4 linked regions of the Lonchura striata genome follow. The protein of the gene in region 1 purifies or fractionates together with the protein of each later gene. This does not show direct contact. Links are inferred from orthologs where the notes say so. Each region holds a gene or a part of one and is shown on either strand. Other genes may lie near its edges. The genes, in order: tubulin alpha-1A chain, TCP11L2, DNAJB6 and HAX1.

Region 1 (7,913 bases):
CTCGAAGCAGGCGTTGGTGATCTCGGCCACCGAGAGCTGCTCGTGATAAGCCTTCTCAGCAGAGATGACCGGGGCGTAGGTGGCCAGAGGAAAGTGGATGCGGGGGTAGGGCACCAGGTTGGTCTGGAATTCCGTCAGGTCGACATTCAGGGCTCCATCAAAGCGCAGTGAGGCCGTGATGGAGGACACGATCTGGCCTATCAACCTGTTGAGGTTGGTGTAGGTGGGACGCTCGATGTCCAGGTTGCGGCGGCAGATGTCGTAGATGGCCTCGTTGTCCACCATGAAGGCGCAGTCGGAGTGCTCCAGGGTGGTGTGGGTGGTGAGGATGGAGTTGTAGGGCTCCACCACAGCCGTGGACACCTGTGGGGCCGGGTAGATGGAGAACTCCAGCTTGGACTTCTTGCCGTAGTCGACAGAGAGCCGCTCCATCAGCAGGGAGGTGAAGCCAGAGCCGGTGCCACCGCCAAAGCTGTGGAACACCAGGAAGCCCTGCAGCCCTGTGCACTGGTCAGCCTGCAAGGAGACACGAGGTGGGGAGGCATGTTTACTCCAGGCAGCAGAAGTTACTCCTTCCTCTTGATGGCCTCACAAGGATATTTGGGGGCTTTCCAGCAGCAGAGCCAGAGTCAGCAGGATGGGGACGGGGTGGCACCAACTCCATCTGTTACCCACTGACTCACGGTGTATCACCCAGGGAAGCTGCTTGGCCTTTGGGGTGAGACAGTGCTCAGGGGCACCTCAAAGTGCAGAATTGCCACCAGCTCAGCAGCAGAGTGGAGACAATTTTGACCATAAACTGTCACAGCCACATGACTCTGGAATGGACCGGCTTGGGGCTGCCCATCCCCAGCACACGCAGCTGGACTCGGCCACGTCAGGAGCCAAGTGGGAACAAAGAGGGAATTGCCGAGCTCAGCACCGGCAGCGCCCGGGGGCTGCGGCGCTGTGGAGCCGCTCCAGCTGCGCCGCGTCCCGCTGCCGGCCAATGGCAGCCACTGCACAACAGGATTAACATTAATTAATAAATTAAATCTAAACCCAACCCAGCGAGTCTGGAAGGGAGAGCGAGACAGAATGGGGGCTTTGTCCTCGCCTGCCACCTGCACCCCCAGTGCCCCTACCAGCTTGCGGATGCGGTCCAGGACCAGGTCGATGATCTCCTTCCCGATGGTGTAGTGCCCGCGGGCGTAGTTGTTGGCCGCATCCTCCTTGCCCGTGATCAGCTGCTCGGGGTGGAAGAGCTGCCGGTACGTCCCGGTGCGCACCTCGTCTGCGGGGACAGCCCCGGGCCCCGTTAGCGCCCGGCGCCCGCCGCCAGCGCCCGCCCCGCCGGCCGCCCCCCGCGCCCTCACCGATCACCGTGGGCTCCAGGTCCACGAACACGGCCCGGGGCACGTGCTTGCCGGCGCCCGTCTCGCTGAAGAAGGTGTTGAAGGAGTCGTCCCCCCCGCCGATGGTCTTGTCGCTGGGCATCTGCCCGTCGGGCTGGATGCCGTGCTCCAGGCAGTACAGCTCCCAGCAGGCATTGCCGATCTGCACGCCCGCTTGGCCCACGTGGATGGAGATGCACTCGCGCTGCGGGGGCACGCGGCACCGGGTCACCCCTTTTGTCCCCTCTGTCCCACCCCAGCACCCACCGGGCTGGCACCCAGCTGGGAAGGGTCCCTGCCCGAGCCTGGCTGGGGCCAGATCCTGCCCGGGCGCACCCATTGTTCAGGGTCTGGAGGTGCACCCAGTGCAGAGGGTCCCATCCTGTCATGTGCCCATCACTGCTGGCACCCTGCCTGTGGGGGATGGGGAGCTCAGGACGTGTGGCTCATCCTGCCCTGAGGGACTGGGACTGTGCCCAAGGTGAGACAGGGAGCCCCGGGGTTCCCATCCTGCCCCACCCTGCCCTGATGAGACCCAGCAAAGCCCCATCGTGGCTCAGCACCGTGGGCTCCTCCTGCCCACTCGAGCCCCAGTGGAAGCACGGCCACGCCCAGTGCGGGACTGGCGTGGGGTGGTGGGGTGGGGTCTCATCCTGCCGTGCCTCGACCTCTGGTGCGGGATGGGGTGCTCAGCACTGGGGTGCTCATTCCGCCCTGCCCACCCCGCACCGGGGACACTTTCTCCCGTATTATACCGGGGCCACGCCCTGCACAGGCTGAGGGCTCAGCACCGGGACGGGGGGAAAAGAGGGTCTCTCCTGCCTGGTTTAACGGGAGCCACGCCCCGGGACGGACGGTGGCTCGGTACTGAATTACGGGAGTCCGATTCTGCCCCTTTCAACCGGTGCCACGCCCTGTACGGGTTTAGCTCCGGGGACCCATCCTGGCCGGTTTAACGGGAGCCACGCCCTATGGTAGCTCAGTGCTGAGTCCCGGGGGTCTCATCCTGCCTGGTTTAACGGGAGCCACGCCCTATGGAAGCTTTGTGCTAAGTCCTGGAGGTCCCATCTTGCCCGGTTTAACGGGAGCCACGCCCGCTGTGGGCTCGGGGGTCGGTCCCGGGGGAGACAGAAAGACCCTTGCAGGCCCATTTAACCGGGCGTACACTCGGGGCTGGGTCCCGGGCGACACATTTTACTCGGTGTAACGGGAGCCACGCCCGGTGCGGGAGGAGTCCCGCGCCGAGGGCTCATCCCGGGAGGGGTGGACGAGAAGCCCTTGGGAATGGCGATCGGGAGGGGTTGGGGACCGGAGACACGCCGAGACGGGAGCCGGGGTTGGGGGGGGGATGAAAATCGGAGACTACGATGGGAGGGTGGGGATTGGGACCGGGGAAAACCACAGGTCCGGGGGCGGGAGGGATGGGGCCGGCGGGAATGCGGGATAAAGAGACCAAGGGAACAGGGACTGTGGGAATAGAGACGCGCCCCCGACCCCCCCGCACCCCCTCACCATGGCGGCGGTCGGTCCGGGGCGGTCTCACAGCCCGACGCTGAGGCGGTCGATGTAAGAGGCGCGGCGGAGCGCGGGGCTCGGTGCGGGGCTTTATAGCGGCGGCGGGGCGGAGCGAAGCGGGGCGGGCGGCGGGGCCGGGGGGGCGGCGGGGCCGGCGGCGGTGGCGGCCATTGGCGGCCCGGGATGAGGTAATGCCCCCCCGCAGCCGCAGACAAAGGCCGGGCGGTGCGGGAGGGGGGCCCGGGGGCTGCGGCGGCCACGGCCCGGCCCCGCCGCCGGAGGGGCCCCGGCTGTGTCCTTGGCACCGTCCCTGCCACGCCCCGGTCCCCGGTCTTGGCTGAGCCAGCGGTCACGCTCAGGTCTCCATCCCACGGTCCCCATCCCCCCACGGCCCCTTCCCCCCATGTCCCGCCGTTCTTCTCGTTCCCGTTCTCCTTCCTACTGCCCGTTATGGGTCTCTTGGTCCCGGGGCTGCCGGTACACGGGGTAGGACCAGGCCCTGGTCCCCATCCATGATGCAGCCTTCCCCCTTGTCTGGCCACTGCCCGTGCTCCCGGTTATCCCCGGCCACACCCTGGTCTCTGTCCGCAGCCATCCCGTTGTTCCCATCCCTTGTCACACTCTGGCCCCCATTTCCAGCCAGCCACGCCCTGGTCCCCGTCCCCAGGGGCATTGTTCTCATCCCTGTTCCCATCCCCAGGGACACTGTCCCCCTCCCTGGCCGTGCCACGGTGCCCTGGTTCTCAGCCACGTCCCTGCCATGGCTCCGCGCCTGTCCCGGCCCTTTCCCTGCCGTGCCCAGCCCTTCCAGCGCCTCTTTGTCTGCTCGGGCAGTGGGAACCAGCGCTGCGGGGCCCAGCCGAGGGACAAAGACTCATCCCCCCGGGCAGCTGGGGACGAGCAGGGAGCAGGGCCAGGGGGTGAGCAACAGCGGGAGGACACAGGGGACAAAAGCCCCCAGGGCAGTTTTGGGCAGGAGGCTCGGACAGCAGCAGCTGCTGGGCGGCAGCTGGTGGTTGGGACACAGCTGGGACAGTGGGACACGCGTCCCCTGGCCACCCCTCCATCTGCTGCAGCCCCTGCACAGCCCCCCCGAGCCACCAGCCCCACAACCCTGGGGTTTCATACTCCTGGGGGGGGGTTCCCCCTCCTGTTTGTTCTTGCAAAGCCCACAGAGGCTGGGGGTTGTCTCCCCAAGCCAGGAGTGCTGGGGGGCTCGGGCCCTGCAGAGTGACCCCACAACACATGCATGGCCCCAGCTGCTGCAGGTGGAGCTGCCAGGATGCCCCCCCTGCTGAGAAATCAGCTTTTTTCCCTGCTGTTTCCCACATTATGCAGATTTCTGGGCAGATTCAAGGTTCCCATGTCCCTGCTGCCAAACCAATGTCCCCAGCACCATCCCCATGTCCCCGCTGCCAGCCCCATGTCCCCGCTGCCAGCCCCATGCCCCTGCTGGTGCCCTGTTTCTGGGGCGCTGCTGGGGCTGCAAAGCTGCAGACAAAGAGGGGATGGGATTTGGGCATCGCCCACCAGAACAAAGGACCAGGTGGCCCTGGCTTTGCTGAGTAGAGAAAAACCAGGAGATTTGGCTCCCACCAGGCTGGTCCCGATGGCAGATAGCAGATAGACCCCAAAGCAGCTCAGCCCCTAGCCCTGACCCCACTGTAGGTCCATCCCTACATGGGAAATGCCTCCTGCCTTTGTTCTCCTGCCGTCCCAAGTGATCAGCACCAGCATGGAGCCTCTCAGGGTGTCCCCATTGTGTCCCCAAAGACAGAGATTTTGGGGGCTCACAGCAGCCCCCTGCCTCGGAGACCACTCTCCAAGCTAAGGAGGGACCCCCCCTCCCACCCTATTGCCCTGAGGGAGGTGCCCCATAGGGCAGGGGGCGGCCCAGCCCCGGTGGGTGATGTGGGGTGTAGGGTGAGGGGCACCGAGTGCCACAGCCCCACTGGTGCCCCCCCAGCCCCCTCCCATCTCCTTGGGTATGGACGACCACAAGTCCTGCACCGACTGCTGCCAGGCAACTGGTGGGGTTGCTAGGAGACCGGTTGCTAGGAGACAGGCTGGGGACCCCCCCCTCCCCCACATCCCCCTCCCCAACATCCATCCTGGGGCCTGGTGGGTGGGGGGGGTGCAGGCAGACAAGGCTGGGTTCTCACCACTGCCTCGTCTTATTGTCACAGTGGGGACACCATCCCCGGGACCCCCACTGCCTCACCCTGCTGGGCTGTGGGTGAGGCACCACCCTCGGGACCCCCGGTGCCTGACCCCGAGGGTGGGGCACCATCCTTGGGACCCCCAGTGCCTTACCCTGAGGGTGGGACACCACCCTCGGGACCCCCACTGCCTCACCCTGAGGGTGGGGTACCATCCTCGGGACCCCCAGTGCCTCACCCTGAGGGTGGGGTACCATCCTCGGGACCCCCAGTGCCTCACCCTGAGGGTGGGGTACCATCCTCGGGACCCCCAGTGCCTCACCCTGAGGGTGGGGTACCATCCTCGGGACCCCCAGTGCCTCACCCTGAGGGTGGGGTACCATCCTCGGGACCCCCAGTGCCTCACCCTGAGGGTGGGGTACCATCCTCGGGACCCCCAGTGCCTCACCCTGAGGGTGGGGTACCATCCTCGGGACCCCCACTGCCTCACCCTGAGGGTGGGGCACAGGACCCCCAGCGCCTGCTCACTCTGCTATGCCAAGTGGGGGGTACACAGGCCCTGGGGTCCCCCAGTGCCCACCCTACTGCACCCTGCCGTGGAGGTCAGCAGCCCTGTGGCCCCCCAGGATCCAGCCCTGCTGAGTGCCAGCGCGGGGTGGCTGGCACAGCTCCCAGCCTCCCCAGCTCCTGCACTCCCACTCGCCTGTGCTCTGTTGACTGTTGGTAGCAACGTGGTGGCTCCTGGTGACGGTTGCTGTCCTCCCCCCACCCTGTCCACCACCCCGGTGCCACTGGGTGCGACCGACCCTGCACCCTCCCGGGGTCCCTCCTGGCTGCACAGAGTCCCCATGGCTGTCCCCAGCCGGGCTGGGTGACTCGGGGGCTCCCAGAGCTGGCATCTCCTCCTGTGTGGGCTGATTTCCTGGCTGCTGGACTCGTGCCCGTGGCACAGCCGAGATTCCCAGCCTCCCCCAGTTTGGGCCCTTCCTGGGGATGACAAATTGGTGACCTCGAACCCCACGGCCGGGACATGCCATCCCCAGGGATCGAGGGGTCTCAGCCTCATCAGGGGCTGTGCTAGCTCGGGGCTGACAACCCAGACTCAGGCTGCTGCTATTTTTAGCCTGTTTTCCCGCAGAACCCAGCTCTGTCTGTCTGTCTGTCCATCCGCTGCCACCATCGATGTGACAGGTTCATTCAGATGGAGAGACAGGGCAGCTCGGGGGGCGGGGGGAGCCGCTCCTTTCCGGGGTGCCGGATGAGGCCGGGGTGTGGTGGAGGGTCCCCGCCGCCCCCCGGCTGGCCGAAGGTGGCCCTTAGGGGGTGGACCCGCGGAGGGGTGGCACCCACCCCTGACCGCGCCCCTGCCCCACCCGAAGGGCAGAGGGAAAACTCCTCCAACCCCAGTGTTTGAGGCAGCGGGTGGCCGCATTCCCCGTGGGAAGAGGCAGGGAGGTGTCACCGGTGTTCCCGCAGCCTCGGTGTCCCGGTGCCCCCTCCCGCCACCCCGCAACCCTTCCCGCCCCCTCCCGGAGCTACGACAAAAGGGAGACTGAGCCCCGGGATGGGGGGGGAGCACTGCGGGAGCAGGGGAGGGCGCGGGGGAGCAGCCGTGGGGTGCGGGGGGCTGCGGGCGCGCTGCCCGTGGGGAGGGGGCTGCGGCACCGCCTGCGTGCGGGGCGGTTCCGCAATGCGGCAAAGCCGGGAATAAAGGAGCGGGGCGGCGGAGGGGTGGGGGTGAGGTGGGAGAGACCCTGCTGTCGGAGGGGTCCGCCCTCGGCCCGGCCCCCCTAAAGCATCCCCTGGCCCCCAGCAGGGCCCCGGAACCAGCGGGGTGGTGTCTCGGGGGGCTCCGGTGGTATCGGGGGCTCAGGGGTGGGTGCTGCTGGGACAACGGGCACCCCGGCCCCGGGCGTGTGCCAGCACCGAGAATGTGCCCGGGGAGTGCGGGGACAGCGGGGGCTCAGGGAGGGGAGGGACACTGAGGTGCCCAGGCTGGGAAGGGTGCCCAGGGATTGACACCGGGGAGCGTGGGGTCTGTAATTCTGTCCCCATGCTGTCCCAAACCCCTCTCTGGCTTTTGGAACGTGACTCCTACCTTCAAACCAACCCAGAGCTGGGGAGGCAGGGTGGGACGGGGCACTGCACCCCGGGGGTGGGCGTGAGATGCTCCCCCGGCCCCGTCCGTCCTGCCCCACAGGACCTGCCCCGCGTGGGTTCTCCCGGGGAGCAGCCCCGGGGCTGGCAGGGAGCAGGGCGGCGGCGGTCACAGGAGCCGGCGCGACGGGAGCCCGCGGGGCTTCCCACGGGAACGGAACCGGGATGGGTACGGGGGTGCGGAGAGGGATTACTGGACCCCCGAGGCCTCCAACCCACGCGGGGCCGGGGCGCTCCCTGGGCAGATGCAACACCTAAGGATGGGGACAGGGGCTTCAGGGACACATCCAGCCGCCGACTGAGCCCACCGCCTCAATACCGCAAAGCCCCCCGCCTCTAAAGCCTCTCGTAGAGCCCCCTAAAGCCCCCCCACACCAGTGTTCCCCCGACCCTCTGCCCCTAATGCCTTCCGACCCTTCTGACCCCGCCAATGGCGCCTTGTCTGCCCGCCCAACACCCCCAACCCTCGGGACCCCCCAGCCCTCGGGACCCCCCAACCCTCGAGGTCCCCAACCCTCGGGACCCCCAACCTTCGGGGCCCCCAGCCCTTGGGACCCCAGCCCTCGGGACCCCCAGCCCTCGGGGCCCCCAACCCTCGGGACCCCAAACCCTCGGGAGCCCCAACCCTCGGGACCCCCAACCTTCGGGGCCCCCAACCCTCCGCCCCTCTTTCCCCGCCCATGGTCACGCCCATCTCCCACGAGAACCC
Region 2 (7,466 bases), on another chromosome or scaffold:
CCTCTCCGCTCCGGCCACGCTTCTTTGCTTCCCCACGCCGACTCGAGCCTGCTGCCTTCATCTTCCCCGCGGAGCGAGTCCCGGCGCAGGACAGGAAAGGAAAGGAAAGGCTGAGCAGGCCTTCCCCTGTGCCACGGGCTCCAGCTGGAGCTCGAGGCTCTGAATGTATCTATTTCTCTATTTGATTACAGCAAGAAATTAAATCGGATTTTGTCTTGGAAAATGTTTTCTTTTCTTGGTCTTTGATTACCGTATATTCTTCCTTTACATCTGTATATATATATATATATACACAGGTTTTTAAAAATTATGTTGAGTATTATGTAGAAACAGTTACTCATAAAGTCAGCTTGATCACAGCCCCTGATGTCAGCCTGTCAAATACAGTTCCACCTCTGCCAAGGCTTAGGATGAACTGAACTGTTTAGTCTATACATGATGTTCTAGTAACTACTAGAATGGGTGGTAAGAGGAGAATTTATACTGAATTGTCTCAGGCATTTTGTTAGCACAATTCTGTTAAATGCACAAATCTGAAAGGATCTTGGTGTGACTGCAGGTTATGAGCACAACAGAAGTTACTGCCCTGACTCTAACAAGTAACAGAGAGCTTGCATAGGGTAAGGAGATTGTCTTAAATATTTCCTAGAGGTGGCTGAAGCTGGCATGAGGAGGCATGCACTAAAGCAGTGAGGGACCCTCAGAATAGTCTGTCTTCCTCAATACAATGACAGTAAAAATCTTCAGCAGCAAACAAAGCACCCTAGGAAAGTTACAACAGCAGTTTTCACCATGAACATCTAGCCACAGCCTTAGTTGTCTCACACTTTATGAGAAGGGGATATCAGATTTCTATTTAGGAAGGGCCTAGAAAGGCTAGGATTTTTAGCAGTACCCTAAGACCCAGGATTTTAGCTCTGAAGCCATTTATTTCAGAGTTTACTATAAGAACTGAGCCATATGGACTTCACCAGAGAGAATAATCACGAGGATCATCAATGCTAAGTATCAAGGGATGTAAATCTGTTTCAGGGAGCAAGGTAGTATAGGTAGCTCACTATTTCTCCTTTTCTCACTTGGTACTGACAAGGAAAATGTTAGCAATGTACTATCTAAAGATTTTTCTCACCATAGAACCAATTCAAGCTATTTTTGACCAAGAGTACTATTCTACAAATAGCTTTTTGTTGTATTTGACACTGTGGGTCAAACTCTTATTTCCTTTGTACAGAAAGACCAATTGCTGTGATGAGGGGAGTATGCATTAAGAATTTGCTGAGTTGGTAAAGTTGGTAGACACTGAAGACTGGTGTGGTTGGGGAAGTTACTGATGTACCATTTTCTCTCAGAAGTGTCAATATTCTGCTTTGCCTTTGAACTTGAAAACAAATAGTTCAGTGGGGAGAAGTAGCAACCCTGTTTGCCTCTCACAAGACTTATTTATCTTTGGAATACAGGAAACTCCACAGAAGAACAAGCCAAGAAAGAATCCTTACACCTGCCTTGTAGTCTTTCTGTCTTGACGTTGAGCCTATTATCAAATCTGGGCCTGATGATCTCAGTCAACCCAGAGTCTTAACATCCATCTGTTAGCACTAAAGCCAATCTGCCTGGCTCAGTTATTAGGATTAGGGAAAAATGTCTTGTGACTTTAAATTATGTTCTCAACTTAGTTGTCATGGGCCCTGGCATAAACCATAGAATGCCTTGCCCTTTCCCTCTCCTCCCACGCTAACCATTGAGTTAGCCACATATTGGGACATTTCTGACATCTTATCCACTCAGTAGCTGCCTTGCTGTTTGCTGGATAAAGCAGAGCATTAATTATAGGCTTTACTATCTTTGCCAGTTTTACTGGTAGCAGTAAGGAAGGTTATGAGCCAACTTGCTGCAAACAGTGAGCACAAACTAGTCCTTAATTTCAATTAACAGTGTTTCTGTAGTGAAAGGCTAAGAGTTAAAGTTAACTTGAGACATTAGTCAAAATTCCAAATATGTACCTCTGTGTGGTTTAACTCACCCAGGAAATAAGCACCACAGTTTCTCTCTCTCACCCCACATGTCCCCAGTGGGATGAGGGAGAGAATCAGAAGGGTAAAAGTGAGAAAACTTGCGAGTTGAGATAAAATAAGTTTAATAATTTAAAAAAATTAAATTGTAATAAAAATGAAAATAACAAAGGGGTAAATAAAATACAAGAAAGACAAGTGAAGCAAATTAAAACAATTTCTCACCAGCAAGTGGTTGATGGCCAGCCAGTCCCCCAGCTGTGCTCCTGCACCAACATTCCCACAGTTTTATTGCTGACCATAATGCCTTATGGTATGGAATATCCCCTGGGTCAGTGGGGTCAGCTGTCCTGGCTGTGTCCTCTCCCAACTTCTTGTGCACCTTCCTCCTGGCTGCTGAGGTGGGGTGAGAGGAAGAAAAGGCTTTGACTCAGTGTAAGCACTGGTTACTAGTAACTAAAGCATCCAAAACACAGCCCCTTGCCAATTATGAGGAAGAAAATTGACTCTATCCCAGCCAAATCCAGGACATACATGCATGTGCTATATAAGACACAAGGACATTGATCTTGTTAATTGAGTAGAACAAATTTAAAGGCTGTACAATTATTTTTCTGGCTGACATTGGGGACACCAGAAAGTGAGAAAAGAGTGTAATTTCTCTGTGGAGAAAATCTCTCCAATGGGTAATCTACTTCAAAATCCATATAGTGGCCTATAGCTTCAGTGCCTCTGGATCAGGAAAGAATTGAAACCAAAAAGAAGGGGAAGTGCTGAGTACTGCAGTGTCTAACTTATTCTTGGCTTTTGGACCAGAATCTCAAAGCATGTCCTTGATGCCCCAGTTATATATGACAGATGTACATCTCTGATATGGTTGGTAGATAGATAGATAGATAGATAGATAGATAGATAGATAGATAGATGATAGAGCAAGCTATGCACTTAAGAATGGGCTCCAAAACGGCTGGTGGGCTTGTGAGAGAAGAATACTACTATAGCTGAAAAAAAAATTGTTTTAAAGCCATCCCTCTCTGGAATCCTATCTCTCACTCCATGATTTAGGTGGAGATACTTTTAGGCTGAAATGCTTTCCCCCCTGAAGTTATCTTTTATATCAGTATTTAGAAGCTACCTCACTTGGTGAGGCTGATCCCTTTCCCTCTCTGTGCAAGCTAGAAACCAGGCCACTGAGCAGCACAGGTTTCCACGAGTGCCAGTCCACAGAGACACAAAATGGACCCTGAGTCACTGGCCCTGATGTTTTTGCAAGTACTCTTTATGCAGTTTTAGCTGGTTAATTGATAAAAGATGTCAGTAGCCATCACAGCAAAAACTCATGTTTTCCCCATATTTCAGATGGTGTCTAAGAAAAAATTGACATATAAAATAATAACAAATTATGTCCTTGGAAGTCGTAACAGGTCTGTACAAAGCAGCCCATCTTTATACCACCACAGTCTTCTCCAAAGCCCTTTTGAGCCTCTTTCAGACTGTCATTGCCATGTGACATGCACAAAGTGGGGCAAAGTAGTGCAAATACAGTTACTTAAAACATTGTCTTCTTTATAGAAGCTGCCGGATTAGGCTGTTGGACTTAATCCCATTTAATGTCTCTGAAGGCCAGGCTGACAGGTGCTCTGCATCGCTGCGAGCAAGCGCTCCCTCTCCAGCTGGGCACTTGGCACTTGCGTAGCCAAACTCTGTTCCCTGCTTGGAGCCCTTGATTTTATAGCAGAGGTTAATGGGACCTACAGTGGGCTTTGGTCTACCCGAATACAACATCCGTTCTGTGTAGTTCACCACGTTTGCTAAAGGTTATCTGCAGGAAGGGGAGCTCTGTCTTCGTGATGGGCAAGGCTGGCGTTAGTGAGCTCTTGCCTCAGAGGTGACTGCCGGTGTTTTGCCCTCCGTGCTTCCTGCTGGGTGAGGCAGTGGTGGCACGTAGCTCCTGTGACAGGAAGAGGTGATGACCCTGACAGGTACTGCTGGCCCGGTGGGTGCGTGAAGCTGCCAGTGCGTGAGGTCAATACAGCAATAAGCAAAGCATTTCTAATGACAGTGCTGCACTGCCCCGAGCTGCGTTCCTCAGTGGGGGCTCAGCAGGCGTCCGGACACCGCAGCGAGCCGGGTGACTAACCTCAGCACGGCGCCCAGTGGCTCCCCTGAAGCTGCGGCGGCGGGGGGCACTGGGGAGCCAAGATGGCGCGTGGAGGGGCGCCTGGCTATCCCACATCGATAGGGTAAGGAAACCAGGGCAAGAACATTGTTAAAGGCGTGCACGCACAGCCTGAGGCGCTGCCCTATCCCCTGGGGGGCACAGCCCCTTTCCCCCAAGGCCGGGCTGTGCGGGGTCGGTGTGCCCGTCCCCGAGCCGGCCCGGGGGCGGAGCCGGCCCGGGTGGACGGGGCCCTTCCGTAAACAGCACCCGGCCCGCCCCCGGCCTACCCCCGTGCGCCAGCACAGCCCATTGCCAGCACGGGGGAGTCCGCCCGAGCATCTGGCCGTGTCGCCGCATATTTCTCCACGCTTAGTGTCGGTCGCAGGCAGAATGAGGAGATGCGGGCAGATTCTACTGGCATAAGTGGAGGCTGGCCCAAGCGCCTCGGATAACTCGCCGATGGCAGGCAGGAAAAGATGACGCGCCTCCCCCCTTCCGCCGTCAGAGATGGACGTGCCCGAGGAAGACACTAAATAGTCCGGGCTGGGTCTTTAAATCGGAGGGGGGGTCCCGTGCGGCCCCGGCGAGCGGCAGCGGTGAGTGACCGGCGGGGGACGGCGGGGCAGGACGGCGAGGGGCAGCGGTGAGTGACCGGCGGGGGACGGCGGGGCAGGACGGCGAGGGGCAGCGGTGAGTGACCGGCGGGGGACAGCGGGGCAGGGCTGCTCCGGCCGGCCGGCGGAGCTGACACGCGGCGGGGTGTCCGGACACGCTGGGCGATGAGTCGCGGGGTGAGTCCGGGACAGCGCTGGCTCGGGGGCTGCCACCCTCCTGTGCGGTGTGGGTGGCAGGGAGGTGGTGGACTGGCCCGTCGCCCTGCTGCCCCGGTGGGGCACCCGCTGCAGCAGGTGGGTTTCGCAGTCCCTGCGCTGGGCCCGTAGTTCTCCCCTTGCCCCGCGTTTCCTGGGCTTTCCCATCCCTTGGTGTCCGCCGGGACGACCCGCCCCGACGGGCGCAGCCGCAGGGTCCCCCCGTGCAGCCCCGGCCGGCAGGGCTGGGGCACCCCGAGCCCTCCCCGGGCCGTGGGTGCCCGGGCTCGCCTTCTCGGGGGCTGACACGGAGTGTTCCCTCCTTGCTTCTCCCCCGGACTCCCTCCCCCCGGGCCCCTCCTTGGAAACGCTGTTTGTTTTGGTCGGCGGGTGCCAAACTCCTGCCTTTGCTAAGTGTTAAAAACATGGGGCCGGGGGAGGAGACAGGCAGCGAAACAGATGGAGGAAGAGGAGGAGCCGCCGGCTCCCCTCGGTGTCGCTGTCCCCGCGGGGAGGGCAGCGGGCAGGACCGGCCCGGGCTCCCCGTGCATCACCGACCTGTCCGGGCAGCGCTCGGGCCCCTCGGCCGCATCTCACTCTCGCCGAAACAGTTTTTTTAAGCCTTCACGAAAAGAAGTGTCTGTTCCGAGAGTTGTGGAACTGGAAAGCTAAAGGGGAGAAATGTCGGCTGTAAGCTGTGAAAAATGAAGCGGGTGGAAATGCGAGTAACTCCTAACAAAGGCTCTTTTCTGTTCTCGTGTCGTGAGTGCTGACAGAGGTGGAGTCAGTGAAAGGGAAACTCGAGACCAAATGAGATTCAGTCGGTGCCAGCTTGAAGATAGTAAGAATGTGAACCCAGCAGAATAAATAAAGTTAAGACCTTCATAGTGGCAAAACTGGACAGAGCACTCATAAGTCTCTGTGTCCATGCACACTTCCTTTGAACAAAGCAGGGCTGTGGAAAACCTGTGTTTGAAGATGGTATCTGAAGAAAATACCCAGCAAACTGTGAAACTCTTCCTCCCTCCTCCCCCGAGATGCTTTGTAAAATTATTTCCAAAGCGAACCGACAGAAATAAAAAGTGTGTTTGTGCCTTCTAAAACTAACCTGATTTGCAGTCTTGATAAGTTTTAAATGAAGAATCGAGTTGGGTAATGCAGTAACCAGTTAAGGACAAGATGTCTTTAAGCATCTACAGTTATGTTTTAATTTTCTTTTTACTAAAAAAGAATAATCCTCACCTGTCTAAATAGCAGAAATGTGCGAATTTATTTCTTCATTGTTACATTAGCTAGAATCTTTGGGTTGGTACACGTAGAAGATACTTTTAGCTTGGTCTTCCAAAGAGTTTATCCTTAAAAATCCCTACAGTATGGTACTGATTGAAAGAAAGCAAATAGTGTGATGAAGCCCACTGTGATGGTGTCCAACCTAATATAAATGTAAATGTGAGTGGTCTTTAATGCAACTGAGTAAATCAGGTTGTAACCTCAGGCTTACTCTTTAATAGAACAGTTGGGATATTAATATATGTATTAAAATAACAGCCTAATATGTAATAATTAATAAGCATTAAAAAAAAATAAACAAGATGGTATTCTTTATCCAAGATGGCGAGTTACAAAGAGATCTTGCAAGGCTGAAGAGCTTTTTAAAATATTTTTCTGTGGCCATTATACTAATTTAAACTTAAAGTTCTAAATTAACTTGGTCATTTGTTATTAATGAGAACTTCTGTGCTATCTACAAAAATGTAAGGAAAATCAGTTCTTCCAGTGTATGCTATAAAGCAAAGACTAAGTGACTCAGTTGTCTATTGTAACTAATTAGAAATGTCATTTTTGGTTTGTGCTTACCTTTCATATGCTCAATGACTTATTTTTGCTTAAGCGTCTTAGGTGGCCCCTGCAGGTTCTGCTTGTATATTCATGTACATTTATTTTGATGTATTTATCTTTTAAACTTAGAATTTAGCAATAATGTTCTGAATCTTCAGAGTACACCCATTCTTACTTCCCATTGTGCTTGAAGCATTCTACTAGGAAATGTATTTATTGTGGTAAAAGATTGCAGTGGTTTTTTGCGTGTCACCTCCTGTTGCAGTGTTTAAATACTTACTTAAGCCTTCTGAAGCACTCTACTGACATCTCTGCTGTCTGTATGTGTGCATATATTGTGGGAGCAGGTATGGTCTTGATACATCAAAATGCCATGTGCATCTTTGAAATGCAGCTGATTATTTGCACTGATCGTTTGCTGGGATTAGTGCTTAAGGACTTAATTTGTACAGACTTCTAATTCTACCTTAACCACTTGATCTTCTTGGAAATCAAGATGGGGTGGAAAATGGCAGTGCTGACTTGCCTTCATGGCTGCTTTTAGTGCTTCTCTCAGAAGAACCTTTCAAAGCTGAATATTTATTAACATTGTCATACCTAGAGGTAAGAGGAAGTTCGTGAAATGATGATGTGGAAATATGTGAGCGT
Region 3 (6,949 bases), on another chromosome or scaffold:
CTTTCAAAAGCATTCTCTTAGCTCAGCTTTTTGCACACAAAGAGGAGTCCAGATAAACTTGCAGCCTCTAGATTACCTAAGACACACACACTACAGATGAAAACTGAGGTTGTGCTCAGCAGGAAAACACTGGAGAATGCAAGAGAAATTGGGTTATTTTGTGCTTTTAATGCTTCTACTGAAAGTTTTAAACTCTAGGTGTATTGCACATATTTCAAGTCTAATTGTTTCTGATAAACTATCAGGAAAAAGTTAATGCTTACATTTAATTAAGTGGCACTTTCCAGAATTACTTTGCCAGCAGTACTATAATTAGATGATATGAGAACAGTCTTTGATACATATGCTCATATTCTTTGTTAACACCAAAAATAGAATCTGTAAATCTGTAAATAGAAGAACGGGATGCATTACACAGCAGGGCAGAGCAGCAGGCTGGGAAGGCTACAGCCATTACCACCTCAGGAGGATTAACATTAATGTCTCTCTAATGCAGCATTTTTAAACATTTCTTGTGTTCTGATGGGCTTTATATAATTGACCTCCATAAATCATGAAAGATGGTTTAAAAAAAGCATCTGGGAACCCTGTGAATTGCCAATACCTCCTGGAACACTGCCACGTGATTTCCATCATTAGGTTATAGCTGCCAGTTAGGGCTGAATTCATCTCACTTAACTTCAGGCATCTGTGAGGTGGCATTTAGGGAGAAAAGGCAGCCCTGGGACAGAGCTCTGGTGGGTGGTTCCTTTCCTAAAACACATCTCCAAAGAGGGTGGAAGGAACTGAGCCCTGGATGTGTCCTCTCCTCCCCTCTCTTCACAGTCAATGGCCTTGAACTGGATGTTCGAGACAGCTGAATTTGGGTGAGATGACAAAACCTTTCTCTCATGTTCCCAGAGGAGAGTTGAAAATTCTTAAACAATTAAGATTCTTTGATAGCAGCTTTACTCTGACTCAATGACTTGGCACTTGGATATCAGCCTGGATCTCTGATACCAGCTTTAACAGACCCACAGACCCTCTTTTGTTATTGGAATGTTGATGCTCTGCCAGCAACTCCAGGCTTCTGCTGCAAGCAGCAAGCCATAAAAACACAGGACACTTTGACTTCATACTTTTGAAAATACCTTTGAAGGTGTTCTGAATCAAAAAGCTTTTCAGTTTTATTAGTCCTATACATAGAGCTAATTAAAAATGTTAATGAGCCAGTTATGCAATCCTTTTGGATTTCAATAAAACATTCAGTACTCTCTCTCCCAGGATCCTTGTGGACAAAATGTCCAGCACACAGCTGGATAAACACATCATGGGATGGGCGAGCGTTTGGCTCACGGGTCAGCACCAAGGGTTGCAGTGGATGGGGTGACAGCAGGCTGGTGTCCTGTCCCCACTGGGGTTCCACAGGGCCCAGCCTCAGCCCTGCGCTCCTCAACATCCTCATCAATGACTCGGATGGGATACTAACTAAGTTTGCCAAGGACACTAAACTGGGAGGAGTTGCTGACTCCCTTGAGGGAAGGGAGGCCCTGCAGAGACCCAGACAAATCAGAGGGCTGGGCAATCACCAACCATTTGAAGTTCAACCAGGGCAATCCTGGATGTGTGTGCTTCGGTATCCCCTGCAGTACCTCTTCTGGTGGGCTTTGCCACATGCTATTTTAATTGAAATCACCTGCCTTTCCCTGTAACAGAGAACAGAAAATTAAATATTGTGTGCCAATTTGAGCAAATGTTTAAAAAGTAAATAATTCTTGTTATTGTTCAGGAGATAATCTGAGCTATCAATGACCATAAGTTAAAAAAAAAGAGATCCCCTAATAAATTATATTTGTAATTGGTGGCTCTGTAAACTGCCTCTTCAGAGAAGTATTGGGAAATGTCTTCTTATCTTTTTCAAAGACAAGCATAAACCAATTAAATTTTTTTTATTTAAAAAATAATTATTTTGTTTTCATCTATAACTTTGTTAGGAAACATTTATTAACATTCTCAGTGTTTTGCTGTAGAAAATGCTAAACTACGCTGCCCTCAGCTATGAGCAGGCAATTTACCTTCTCATACCTTCCTTTCTCCAAATGCAAAATTGGTCTCTAAGCTTTCCCAAATGTTATTCCTGTATCTGAAGGATGCTAAAGCAGGGCTATGCTGTTTAGAGTCAGAACAGTGTTAGAAAATCGCTGGGCAGATTAATGTAATGATAACAAATTGTGTTAAAGAAGCCATGGTCCTGGTTGCATTGATGCAGGCAGTGTTTTGATTCCAACCCTCTAGTTCCATATGGAATCATGCTTCTTTGCCATGTTCTGCTTGCTTGGCTAAACAGAAAGTTTTATGGTTGGCATCCATCATATTTAACTGTAAATATAAAATCTGCTCTTATTAAAGCAAAGAGACTTCCTCGTGTGACTTTTGTCTTGTTTACTACAGCTCAGGTTTTAGTACTCTTCACTTTTTTTCTCCCCTGTAATTGGTAATGAAAGGCTGGAGAAAAACCATTATTTCAAGAACAAGAAATGTTTAAAGGATTAAATCAAAATTTTGTATGGTCTCCTCCCTCACCTCACAATACTGACCTGCCTTTGCATTTGCCAGGCTGTGAATCCTCTGAGGTCTGAACTTGGCCCATTAGGAAGAGCCAGTCTAACCCACTAATCCTTTGGGTGTTTTCTTTCCCAGTGGACCAACAACTTGGACTTCACAGCTACTTGCTGATGAGAAACTAATAATGGAGTGAGGTGTCTCTCTGCTCTAATTTTGAAGAATTGTTTCCACGACCACAACATAGCATCAACAATCAACAGTATTTCTTTTGAAGCTTGCATTTCCCCAAAGCACCAAGCCTGTACTTAGGGTTGTCCTACTACTTGTCCTGCTGATTTGTTTTAGGTTTTCCTCTTCCTTATTGCAAGCTGGCTTTTGTCTTTTTGAACTGACCCCACTCCCACACAAACACTTCCTAAATAATGCGTAGCCTTTTCATTGAATTTATTTTGGAAGCATACATTTTAGGCGTGGAAACTCTCTAACTTCATTTTGGTGAGCTATAAATTAATGCCTCCACTTTTTAAATTAGGGGCAAGAAATATAATTTTACAGCAATTTAAAGCATGGATAAAATCTATATTTTAGAATTAAAATAGTAACTTTGTTGCTTTATACTTTGCTCTCAACCATGGCACTCAGAAAACCACATACTTGAATATAACACAAAGGATGCTCCAATATATTCAGCCAGTGCAGGGCGCTACATGCATGGAGAGGAATCTGACCTCAAAGGAATTGTGTGCCAGAGTTACAATTTTTGAGACTCCAACTTTAAACACACAAAGGGGAAAAATTTTTGGTATCTCACCTTGAGCACCCAAACTCACCTATTCAAAGAATGTTTGTTAAAATTGTTGTTTTTTCACCTTTTCCTACAGCACCACACCCAGGCATCACTTTTTGCAATTCCCTCACAGAATCCCAGCAGGGGTCAGGCTGGAAGGGTGATCCCAGAGCCCGTGGCACAGGATTGTGTTTAGATGGCTCTGGAATACCCAGTGTGGGAGACTCCACAGCTCCTCTGGGCAGCCTGTTCCAGTGCACGGTCACTGCACACTAAAGAAGTTCTCCCTCACGTTCAGGTGGAAATTCCGTGCCTCAGTTTCTGCCCATTGCCTCATCTCCTCTTGCTGGAGCAGAGCCTTGTCCATGCTCTTGCCACCCCCAGTTTTTGAGAGTACAGACACAAAAGTGGAAGAATTTTTGCCATCTCACTTCTCAGCTATTCAAAGAAGGTTTCTTAACCTTTTTCTTTTTCTTTTTTGCCTGTTTTGCTGCACACCCGGCCCTCAGAAGCCCCGCCCCGGCGCCGCGGGCCGCCGGCAGGGGGCGCTCTCCGCTCGCACGGGAGCCCGGCGGGGCCGTTCCAGAAACTTCCGGAAGCGGCGGGGCGGAAGCGGCGGCGCGCGCTGGCGGCACTTCCTGTTTGCGGCCGCTGCCGTTGGTGCCGGCGGGAGCGGCGGGCGGGGAGCGGCGGCCGCGCTGCGGAGCCACCGGCGGGTGAGCGCGGGGACCTCGGCCCGGGGCTGCCCGGCCGCGGCCGTGCGGCGGGCGGAGGGCGGCGGGGAGCGGCCGCTTGGCCGGGCCGCGGTGCCGGGCAGCGGCGTGCCTGGTAGCGGGGCCTGCTGGCGGCGGTGGAGCGGCCGCGGGTGCCGCGGCGGCTCTGCTCGGCCTTGGCGGGGCTCGGGGGTCGCTGGGAGCTCGGGGAGGCAGCGGCTGGCCAGGGCTGCCCCCGGCGGGACAAACCCCGGGACGTTCGGTGCCAGCCCGCTCTGCCGCAAGGCAGAAAAAAAATTCCGGATTCCCATTCCTTGCTCACAGGGGTGTCAACTCCCAGGGGATGAGGGCGAGCCTCGTTTCGTTAAACACACCTTGTCCTTAAAGCGCTTTTTGTCGCAGGGTGCTGCCTGGGCGGCTTGCGAGCGTTGTGGCCTCCTTTTTTCTGCCAGTCCCTGAAAGGAGATGGCGATGAGCTGCGGGCCGTGCCTGCAGACAGAGAGAGGATCAGTGGAAATGGCCTTAAGATGAGACGGCGTGATTCAGATTAGATAGTGTAAAAAATAGTTCACATTTAGGGTGGCCAGCCATTGGAATAGGTTGCCTAGGGTGGTGGTGGAGTCGGCAGCTTTGGAAGTGTTCGGGAGCGGCTGGATGTGGCGCGGGGCGGGTTTGTGGTTAAGGGACGCAGTGGCGGTGTTGGGGGGTGTTTGCCCTGGGTGATCTCAGAGGCGGTGTTGGGGATGTTTGCCCTGGGTGATCTCGGTGGCGGTGTTGGGGGGTGTTTGCCCTGGATAATCTCAGAGGCGGTGTTGGGGGGTGTTTGCCCTGGATAATCTCAGTGGCGGTGTTGGGGGGTCTTTGCCCTGGGTGATCTCGGTGGCGGTGTTGGGGGGTGTTTGCCCTGGGTGATCTCAGTGGCGGTGTTGGGGGTGTTTGCCCTGGGTGATCTCAGTGGCGGTGTTGGGGGTGTTTGCCCTGGATAATCTCAGTGGCGGTGTTGGGGGTGTTTGCCCTGGGTGATCTCAGAGGCGGTGTTGGGGGGTGTTTGCCCTGGGTGATCTCGGTGGCGGTGTTGGGGGGTGTTTGCCCTGGGTGATCTCGGTGGCGGTGTTGGGGGTGTTTGCCCTGGGTGATCTCAGAGGCGTTTTCCACCCCTGGTGACCGTACGCCAAACGAGCTGTGATTCTCCCCCGATGGAAGCAGTTCGGTTTCGTTGCTCAGTGTTGATTACTCGGGGTGCCGGCAGGAGGGAGGTTTGTTGTGGGTGAGGTCGGCAGAGGTCGGGTGTTTTGAGCTCGCTGTTGCCAGGTTCCGAGCCGAGGTGAAAACTGATACTGCCAGGTAAGGAACACTGTTTGTCGTCAGTATTTGTTGCACTTCAGAGGGGACAGCAGGCTGGGTTTACCACTCGCGTTCCTGTTTGCACCAACGCTTTGTGTTGTGTTGCTGTCTGAGCTCTCCTTGGCTGCTGAAAACGTGCTGCGACCATGCTAACAAAGGTGTTAGAAATAATTCACAATACTGAACAAATCTGTTCTAAATTGTGGTAATAATAAACTACTTATTTAGGCACGGTAGCATGAAATCTGCGTTTACTATGTGCAAATAGTTAGACTTGTGTCATTGCATAGTCAGTGATCAAACCCAAGAGTTTTTAGAGTATAAAGTGTCAAAAAGTGATAAGAACAAGGTGCTGACATAAGGGACCACTGGGATGAAGCAAGGCTCTGCCTCTCTGGTCTTGCAGCAGAGGTTGCAGTCACTGCTGTCTGCTGACCTTAATTTTTGTTTACTCTTTGGAGATCCTTGTACTCCAGTTAGGGATTTTATGTTCAGCTGGTGATCAAGAGCCTAATAGTGAAAATACCATTTAGTTTGATGGATTATGTTGTCAAAGAAGATTTGTTTGGACCAATGAATAAGTGTATTTACAGATCTTGTCTGCGTGATTACTTTTTTTATTGCAAACAACCAGAATTTTAACTATTGCACAACACTAGTCTAACTTTGTGTACTCCCCTTGGCTCCTGTGCTGACTTCTCAGTGGAGAATAAGAGTGTTGAAAATAGAAGTTAAATTAGTGTTAAATTTTCTTAAATAATCTCTATTAGAGTAGAAATTTAAATTGCTGCTTTTATTGGCAGCACTGTTTAGACTACAATGCTACTAATAATGTAAACTAAATCTGTAAAGTGCAGAGTTCCCCTTGTTCTCCATCAGGCTTGTCTTTTTAGTACTTGTGCTTTCAAACTACAGCAGATTCTTATCCAGGCAGCTTCTCTCTCTGGTTATTTTCTCTGTCCTTCCCAGATCGATGCAGATTGCTAATTTATCTTGGCAGAGCTTGGGAAGAAGGCATGCAGGGCTTTACTTTTGTGTAACACTGAAGTTTTAGTTAGAGGCTAACGTGTTTTGGTACTGACTTTTTAAAAATAGATGAATAGATTTCTTTGCGAACTCTATTCTTTCTTTTATCCATTAGAAGTTTTGGAATGTATGCGAGGAGAGGGAATAATTTACGTTAAATCATCATCATCATTTTATGTAGGATATAGGCGTTCCTAACAGCGCACGAGAAACGACCACCAGGTTTTTGGTCTGTTGTGCGTCTGTGCCTCAACGCGCTCGTTGGCGCAGCGAGGTCTGCGAGCGGGGGCGGCGGGTGCGCTCTGCCCGCTCCGGAGCCCGGCACGGGCGGAAATGTCCGCGCCCCTGCGAGCCCGGGAGGGCACGGCCCGGCCCCTGCGAGCCCGGGAGGGCACGGCCCGGCCCCTGCGAGCCCGGGAGGGCACGGCCCGGCCCCTGCGAGCCCGGGAGGGCACAGCCCACCCTGCACAGCCCTGCGAGCCCGGGAGGGCACGGCCCGCCCTGCACTGCACAGCCCGCACTGCACTCAGACTTC
Region 4 (6,392 bases), on another chromosome or scaffold:
GTTTCTCTGGGTGGCAGCCTGCCCTTCAGCTGGTTTCTGGAGGAATTTTGAAACAGTGTGTCCAGCGCCAAATAACTTTTATTGGGTGCTTTGCATGTGATCATGCCTTGGCCTGGCTGCCCAGGCCAGTCTGTCTGTAGATCTTTTCTGACTGCTGGAGCTCTCCACCAGGTACTGCTGGTGTTAGCAGCAGGCAGCTCCTGCTGACCCACTGGCTGCTGCCTAACACCCACCTCTCCCTTCTCCCCAGGAGTATCCGTGACATCCAGTAATACAGGCGTGCCAGACATCTCGGGCTCTGTCTACTCCAAAACTCAGGTTAGTGTCTCTGTGCTTCCTGCATCGCTGGGGAGGAGAAGCCAAGCTCTGAGACAGCCTCTCTGGGCAATGAGGTCTCTTCCACTTGGATCAGCCAGCCAGGGAGAAGGGAAATGCTTGACCTTTCCCAGCTTACAGCAAATCCAAGCCCAGAAAGAGCCATAGGAAGATACTCTCTATCCGTTCTCTGTACTGCCGGCTGACTCTGGGCTTGTGATGGGTAGAGATGGGGAGGAGCACGGTGCCAGCCTGACTCCCCGCCCTTATTCTGCCGTTGGCATCTCCTTCTTAGCAATCCTTCGAGAAGCAGGGATTTCACACTGGAACCCCAGCAGCCTCCTTCAACCTGCCTTCGGCGCTGGGCAGCGGCGGCCCCATCAACCCTGCGACAGCAGCGGCATACCCCCCCACCCCCTTCATGCACATCCTGACCCCGCATCAGCAGCCTCACTCGCAGATCCTCCACCACCACCTGCAGCAGGATGGGCAGGTAAGCAATACCCCTGGCACCTCAGCCCCTTGCTGGGCTATCTCCTAGGGCTCTTGCTCCCCCTTTACATCCCTGGTCCCTCTCTCCCTCCCTGCCTCCCTCTCTCATGCTCTGCAGCGGACACATGCAGTGACAGGCACATGCTCAGACCTGCACATACACACAGGGCTGTAAGAGGATGAGGTGAGAAGGAAGGCCTGGGGTGTGCTCTGCCAGGGTGGGTACTCAGCACAACCCCCTGGCTACCAGCCTGCACCAGATAGGGCCAGGTAGTGCCCCCTCATGCAGACACATCTGGGGCACCCCACCCCCCCCATCCTCAGAGGGGCAGCTCCGCAGACCAGCACCAAAGGGGTTCCTCGCCATAGCCATGACCCTGCAGGAGCTTTCAGGTCTAACCGTGGATTTCTATTGTCATAGTTTGTCCCTTTATTTTACATATCCTGGTACTGCAACAGCTTCCATATTTGCAGATGATACTGTGCTGCCAACGCCAGCAGGAGGATCAGGTAATGAACTCTCTGAAAATGCATTTGCCGTGGGCTCTGCCCCTGCCCCTAAGGCTCCCCAGGATCACGTAGCCCCTTCCTTCTCCCCCATGGCCCTGCGAGGTGAGGAGAGGCCCTCAGTCAGTAGATGCACACACATACATTTGCGCGCAGACACAACCCACACCGACCCTTCCCTGTCTCCTCTCTCCCTGCTGCCCACAGCCCTGTGTGCTGCTGGCCTGGAGCAAGGTGTGGAGCCGAGGGCGGGTGCTGGGGTACGGCAGGTGCAGCTGCAAGGTGTGCTGGAGGCTGCCCCAGCGCCAGGGAGCCGAGTTGGGCTGAGATGGATCGGCGGCTGCTGAGGAGCCGTAGCCCAGAGCACCTGGCCAGGGCCGTCTCTGGGGCCCAGGCATGGCAGTGTGACCCCGCAGAGTAGGCCAGGGGTGCTTCCCCTGCACTCACCACCTGCTTCTCCTTCTGCCCTTTCCCGCAGAGCGGCTCCGGGCAGCGCAGCCAAGGCAGCTCCATCCCCCAGAAATCCCAGGCCAACAAGTCCGCCTACAACAGCTACAGCTGGGGCGCCAACTGAGGCCGGGCCCCTCGCCACCACTTGCTTCCGGAAGAGAATCCCAGTGCCCCTGATGATGAGGAAGGATCCCAGGGAGGAGAGAGCCCTGCAGCGGGGAGCGCCCGGGCCCCCAGCCCCAGCAGGGCCCCGCAGGGCAGGCCGCAGGCACCTCTGCGTTGTCTGTCTTCAGCCACTTTCCTGTTGTATGTAATATAGAATTTGTATTTTTTTCTTTTTTTTTTTCCTTTTTTTTTTTTTTTCTCTCTCTCCTCATTCAGATATGAACCGTTTGCCGTAGGGGCCTTTTTTGGTTTTTACTCCTTTCTATCCCCTCTCCCATCCAGCTGCCCCAGAATCTCTCAGATCCAAAGGAGTGGAAGCTGCGAGTCGCCTACAGCAAACCCCCTTATTATTAGGATTAAGACCAGTAATTGATATGAGCAGCATTGTAAGATTAATTAGTTGAAGTGTTTTTTTTGTACCGTGTTCTAAATTTAATGGATAAATGTGTCTTGTATATAAAAACAAAAACCCCATGCTGTCCTCTAGTTCTCTCATTTCTCCCCCACCCCGTCGAGGGGTCCCCCCTGGTATTTTATGTTCTCCATCTGCGTCCCTCCATCCTCATGGGCCCAGAGTGCAGGTCCTGCCCTGCTTGCACGCTGTAAGTATCTTCTGCTTTTGGGTTGGGGATTTTTTCTTTTTTTTTTCCTTTTTTTTTTCTGTTTTGTGGGGTTTGGTTTGGTTTTTTGGGTTTTTTTTTTTTTTTGTTTTTTTTTTTGGTTGGTTGGTTTTTTTCTATGCAGTCCAGATCTTGTATTTTTCAGTTCTACCTGATCCCTTCAGCTGCAGCCCCAAGCGGGGATTTACTGAAGAGAATAAAGATCACAAAGTGATGTGTGTATTTTTTCCACCTTCTCAGCCTCGTTCCCTATTTTTGGTGCAGGGGGTGGGTGGCCCTGGGCGGTGGGGGCAGTGCTTCCCCCACCCCTCCCCAGCTTCTTGCTGGTGTTTTTGTCCCCTCATTTTGTGGGTTTTTCCTTTTCCCAGCTGCAGCACTGGGCAGACCCTCACCCTCTGACCACACTGCTTCCTGCTGAGCTCTGCCTGCTGTCCCCACTGCTCTGGTGCTGCTGCTGCTCCCTTTGGGGGTTGGGGGGTGCTCTCCCTAGCCCCTCCTCCCCACAGTCATGGGGCAGCCTGGGACGGTGGGCACATGACGGAATCTGTGGTATTTAAATTAGTCCGATTGTAGAAAGCCTCTGTCTTTCAGCCCCGCTGCCAAAGAAGAAGTGGTAATTTGTGCTGGTTTTCAAGGTTGTTTATTCTTGCTTATCTGTAACGTGTTCTGCTGCCCTGCCGCAGCTCTGTCCTGCAGGGCAGCATGTGGGGCTCTGCCCTCAGTGGGATGTGACAAACATTAAATACCAGAAACTCCCTGGGCTGGATTTACAATAACGTGCCAATATCTGTCACCTATGTTGGACAGTGTGTCCCCAGCCTAAACCAAATGAAAAATGCCAATACCAGAGTAAAACATGAAAGACATGAAGAAGAAGACAAGGCATACCAAATTTCCTCTATCTTGTCCCCTTTGAACCCCTTATATAGAATCCTAAAATTCTACTTTGGCACCTATGCCACACTAATTATTGCTTATATCAAACACTCAGAGCTTGTAACTCATCCTGTAAGATTGAAAACTTTTCCATGGCCAGAGATCACAGCCAGTGTCTCTGGGGGCTCTGTCCAGGGGGTTCCTGACCCCTGCCAGGGTCCCAGGGCAGCCAGAAGGACGCCCTGGACTCCCACAGGCACCGGGGAGGGCAGCGGGACCGCTGGGAGCCGTGCCCGAGCTCCAGGTAAGGGGCTGGGGGCGCCGCCGGGGCCCTCGGGCCCTGCGCGGGCCGGGCTGGGCCCGTGGGGCTCGCTGGGCGCGGAGAACGGCGGCGGGAGCACACGGGCCTGCAGCCCGCACCCGCCCCCGGTGCCCCGGGACACTCCCCGGTAGCTCGTGCCAACGGGGCTGGGCAGCCCTCACTCCCCGGTAGCTCGTGCGAACGGGCCCGGGGCCGCTCCAGGCCTCGGGGCCCTCACTCCCGGTAGCTCGTGCGAACCGGCCCGGGCCGCGGGGCACCGGGCGCGCTCCGGGCTCCGGTCCCCGTCACAGCACGGCCGCGCTGCCGCAGCGCCGCGCGACACCCGGCGGCGCTTTACGGCCGCAGCGCTTGGCGGCAGCGCGACCCGGGCGCGGCGGCGGGACGGGGGAGCGGGGCCCGGAGGGGCCCGCAGGGACCCAGAGCGGGATGAGCTTCTACGACGTCTTTCGCGGCTTCTTCGGGTTTCCGGGACCGTGCAGGTGACCGGGACTCCGCCCGTCCCCTGGGTGCCCCCGGCCTCGCCCACACAGACCCTGTCCGTCTCTCAACCGCCACTTGCCCCACCGGCCCCGGGCCTGCCCCGCTGGCTCCGGGCTCTCCGGTGTCTCACTGCCGCGGTCCCGCAGACCCCGGGACCCGCTGTTCGGCGGCGCGGCGTGGGACGAGGAGGAGGAGGAGGACGATGGCGGCCCGTCCATGTCGCAGCCCCCCCAGGACTTCGGCTTCGGATTCAGCCCTGGCTCCTCCCGCGGCGCCTTCGAGGAGCTGTTCCGGGACATGGGCGAGCTCCTGGGCGTCTTTGGGGGCTTCTGGGCCGAGCCCCAGCAGCCTTTCGGTGGGTACGGGAAGGGCTGAGCGAGCTTCTTGGGGCCGCTCGGAGCCCCTCGGCCTGACCGACGCCCCTGTGCTGCCCAGAGCCCGCCCTGCCTGGCCCCGCTGAAGGCAGCGCAAGGCGACCGCTGCGGGACTCGATGCTGAAGCACCCGGAGAGTCCCCCCGCCGGCGCGGCCCCGGGGAGTCCCCGGCCATGGAGACCCTTCTTAGGGGTGGGTGAGGGCTCTGGGTTCTGCCTCCCGCAGGCTCTGCAGCGGTAGCCAGCTCTGTGCTGCTGTAGTGCTGCCTTAGTGTCGTGCTTGGCCTCAGTGCTCCGTGGCTTTGTCTTGCAGCTGGAAGATGCTCACCGGGCTCCTCCTGGCCTCAAGGAAGACCAAGGTGGGTGCTGGCAGCAGGGGCTGAGGGCTCTGCCCTCCCTGCTCCACCCACCTGTGCTGCCACAGCCCCGGGGGCATGTCCCCATGCTGCGGCCCCCATCTTGCATCTTCCCCCAGACCTGGACTCCCAGATCTCCTCCGCTGGGCTGGGGACCATCCTGAGACCCAGCGAACCCAAGTCCCACTCTTATTTCCAGAGCGTCTCTGTCACCACAGTGACTCTCCCTGATGGGGTGAGTGTCCCTGCAGGCGCAGCAGGGCTGTGGGGGACCTGGGGACACCGTCCCCGTGGCTGGGGAGTCTCTCAGGGCTCGGTGCTCTGCACAGGGGGTGGAGGAGCGCCGTACCGTGCAGGACAGCCAGGGCCGCCGGGAGACAACGGTGACGCGCCGGAGGGGGGACCAGGCCTTCATCACCACCACCAAGGAGGATGGGCAGCAGAAGGACTACCGGGAGGAGGTGGTCAACATGGATGACCGTGAGTGGGGGTCTGGGGAGGATGCAAAGAGTGGACAGGGGCCCCGCTGAGGGAGCTCTCCCTGCCCTCGCAGGGGAGCTGGCACAGTTCGCTGGCACATGGCCGCAGCAAGAAGAGCTTCGTGCTGCCAACCCGAGCGACCCCTCATCTGTGCTGGGCAGATTCTTCCGACGCTGGTTCTCGAGCTGGTAGCTGTGCCCAGGCCTGATTGAGCAGCCCCTGTGTGTGACAGGTGCGGGCTGGGGGGACCCTGGGCTTGCCAGGTCTGTCAGAGCAGGCAGTGGGCAGCAGCCTTTTCTCACCACCGATTTTTGTTGTAGATGGGTCAGATCTTGCTGGAAAGTGGTGCCTGGGCTGGAGGCTGTCCACCTTCTGCAGTGCTGCAGAGCCACAGGGAGCCCTGTGGGGGGTTAAGTGTATGTGTGTACAGAGCAATAAAGTCTATTTATGCTAAACGGTGACTTTCCTGCTCCTTCAGACTGGCATCTCATGCGTTTGGAGGCAGATTCCCCCTGTCCACCAGGATGAGTGGGGGGGTGCCTCAGGTGTGCAGGTGATTGCTGGGTTCCTGTGCCTGCACTGCTCCCTTCTTACCTCCCTCTCCCATTTCCCTGCCTGATGCTGTGCTAATGTCTCCCCTGGGCCACTTTTGAGGGCCTGGCCCAGCCTGGAGGCCTTTCCAGGACTTCTTTATTAGTGTTGACTGCAGCTGTGGCTCAGGCAGGGATGTGGCAGGAATAAAGGGGGCTCCTGGCCATGAAATACCTGTGCCTGCTCACCTGAGTGAGGTCTTGGCTCCCCACAGCCACTTGGGGATCAGGGTGTTCCTACCCGGCCTTGCCCTTCTGGGGTGCAGCACTGTCACAAGGTGTCCCCGGCCACACACAGGACTCTGGTCCCTGCCAGGCGGCTCCCGTGGTGCAGCCATGATTGGTTTAAAGTCTGCACATAATCAC

The links.
Region 2: the proteins of tubulin alpha-1A chain (region 1) and TCP11L2 purify together in Homo sapiens (affinity purification with mass spectrometry; 3 studies listed by BioGRID and IntAct, counting the BioPlex papers as one, with this or other methods). This does not show direct contact. The link is inferred for Lonchura striata from reciprocal best matches to the Homo sapiens genes TUBA1A and TCP11L2.
Region 3: the proteins of tubulin alpha-1A chain (region 1) and DNAJB6 purify together in Homo sapiens (pull-down; 3 studies listed by BioGRID and IntAct, with this or other methods). This does not show direct contact. The link is inferred for Lonchura striata from reciprocal best matches to the Homo sapiens genes TUBA1A and DNAJB6.
Region 4: the proteins of tubulin alpha-1A chain (region 1) and HAX1 purify together in Homo sapiens (affinity purification with mass spectrometry; 3 studies listed by BioGRID and IntAct, with this or other methods). This does not show direct contact. The link is inferred for Lonchura striata from reciprocal best matches to the Homo sapiens genes TUBA1A and HAX1.

Annotation. Positions count from the first base shown.
Region 1 is NC_134629.1:5,996,871-6,004,783, reverse strand, and holds the start of tubulin alpha-1A chain, read right to left. Parts: upstream 3,008-7,913; 5' UTR 2,889-3,007; coding exon 2,886-2,888; intron 1,579-2,885; coding exon 1,356-1,578; intron 1,274-1,355; coding exon 1,125-1,273; intron 517-1,124; coding exon 1-516. UniProt on the Homo sapiens protein: Tubulin is the major constituent of microtubules, a cylinder consisting of laterally associated linear protofilaments composed of alpha- and beta-tubulin heterodimers.
Region 2 is NC_134607.1:20,691,773-20,699,238, forward strand, and holds the start of TCP11L2 (T-complex protein 11-like protein 2), read left to right. Parts: upstream 1-4,463; 5' UTR 4,464-4,766; exon of another isoform or gene 4,767-4,860; intron 4,861-4,881; exon of another isoform or gene 4,882-4,961; intron 4,962-7,466. UniProt on the Homo sapiens protein: Promotes the migration of muscle-derived satellite cells (MDSCs) during differentiation throught interaction with FMNL2 and therefore may participate in microfilament assembly.
Region 3 is NC_134603.1:148,335,703-148,342,651, reverse strand, and holds the start of DNAJB6 (dnaJ homolog subfamily B member 6), read left to right. Parts: upstream 1-3,935; 5' UTR 3,936-4,047; intron 4,048-5,140; exon of another isoform or gene 5,141-5,388; intron 5,389-6,949. UniProt on the Homo sapiens protein: Has a stimulatory effect on the ATPase activity of HSP70 in a dose-dependent and time-dependent manner and hence acts as a co-chaperone of HSP70. Plays an indispensable role in the organization of KRT8/KRT18 filaments.
Region 4 is NC_134635.1:1,009,168-1,015,559, reverse strand, and holds HAX1 (HCLS1-associated protein X-1), read left to right. Parts: upstream 1-4,083; 5' UTR 4,084-4,173; coding exon 4,174-4,226; intron 4,227-4,373; coding exon 4,374-4,582; intron 4,583-4,662; coding exon 4,663-4,793; intron 4,794-4,913; coding exon 4,914-4,959; intron 4,960-5,075; coding exon 5,076-5,191; intron 5,192-5,285; coding exon 5,286-5,436; intron 5,437-5,509; coding exon 5,510-5,628; 3' UTR 5,629-5,668; intron 5,669-5,756; 3' UTR 5,757-5,891; downstream 5,892-6,392. Other genes in the region: UBAP2L (ubiquitin-associated protein 2-like), read left to right, coding at 251-318, 611-808, 1,267-1,317, 1,793-1,888. UniProt on the Homo sapiens protein: Recruits the Arp2/3 complex to the cell cortex and regulates reorganization of the cortical actin cytoskeleton via its interaction with KCNC3 and the Arp2/3 complex. Slows down the rate of inactivation of KCNC3 channels. Promotes GNA13-mediated cell migration.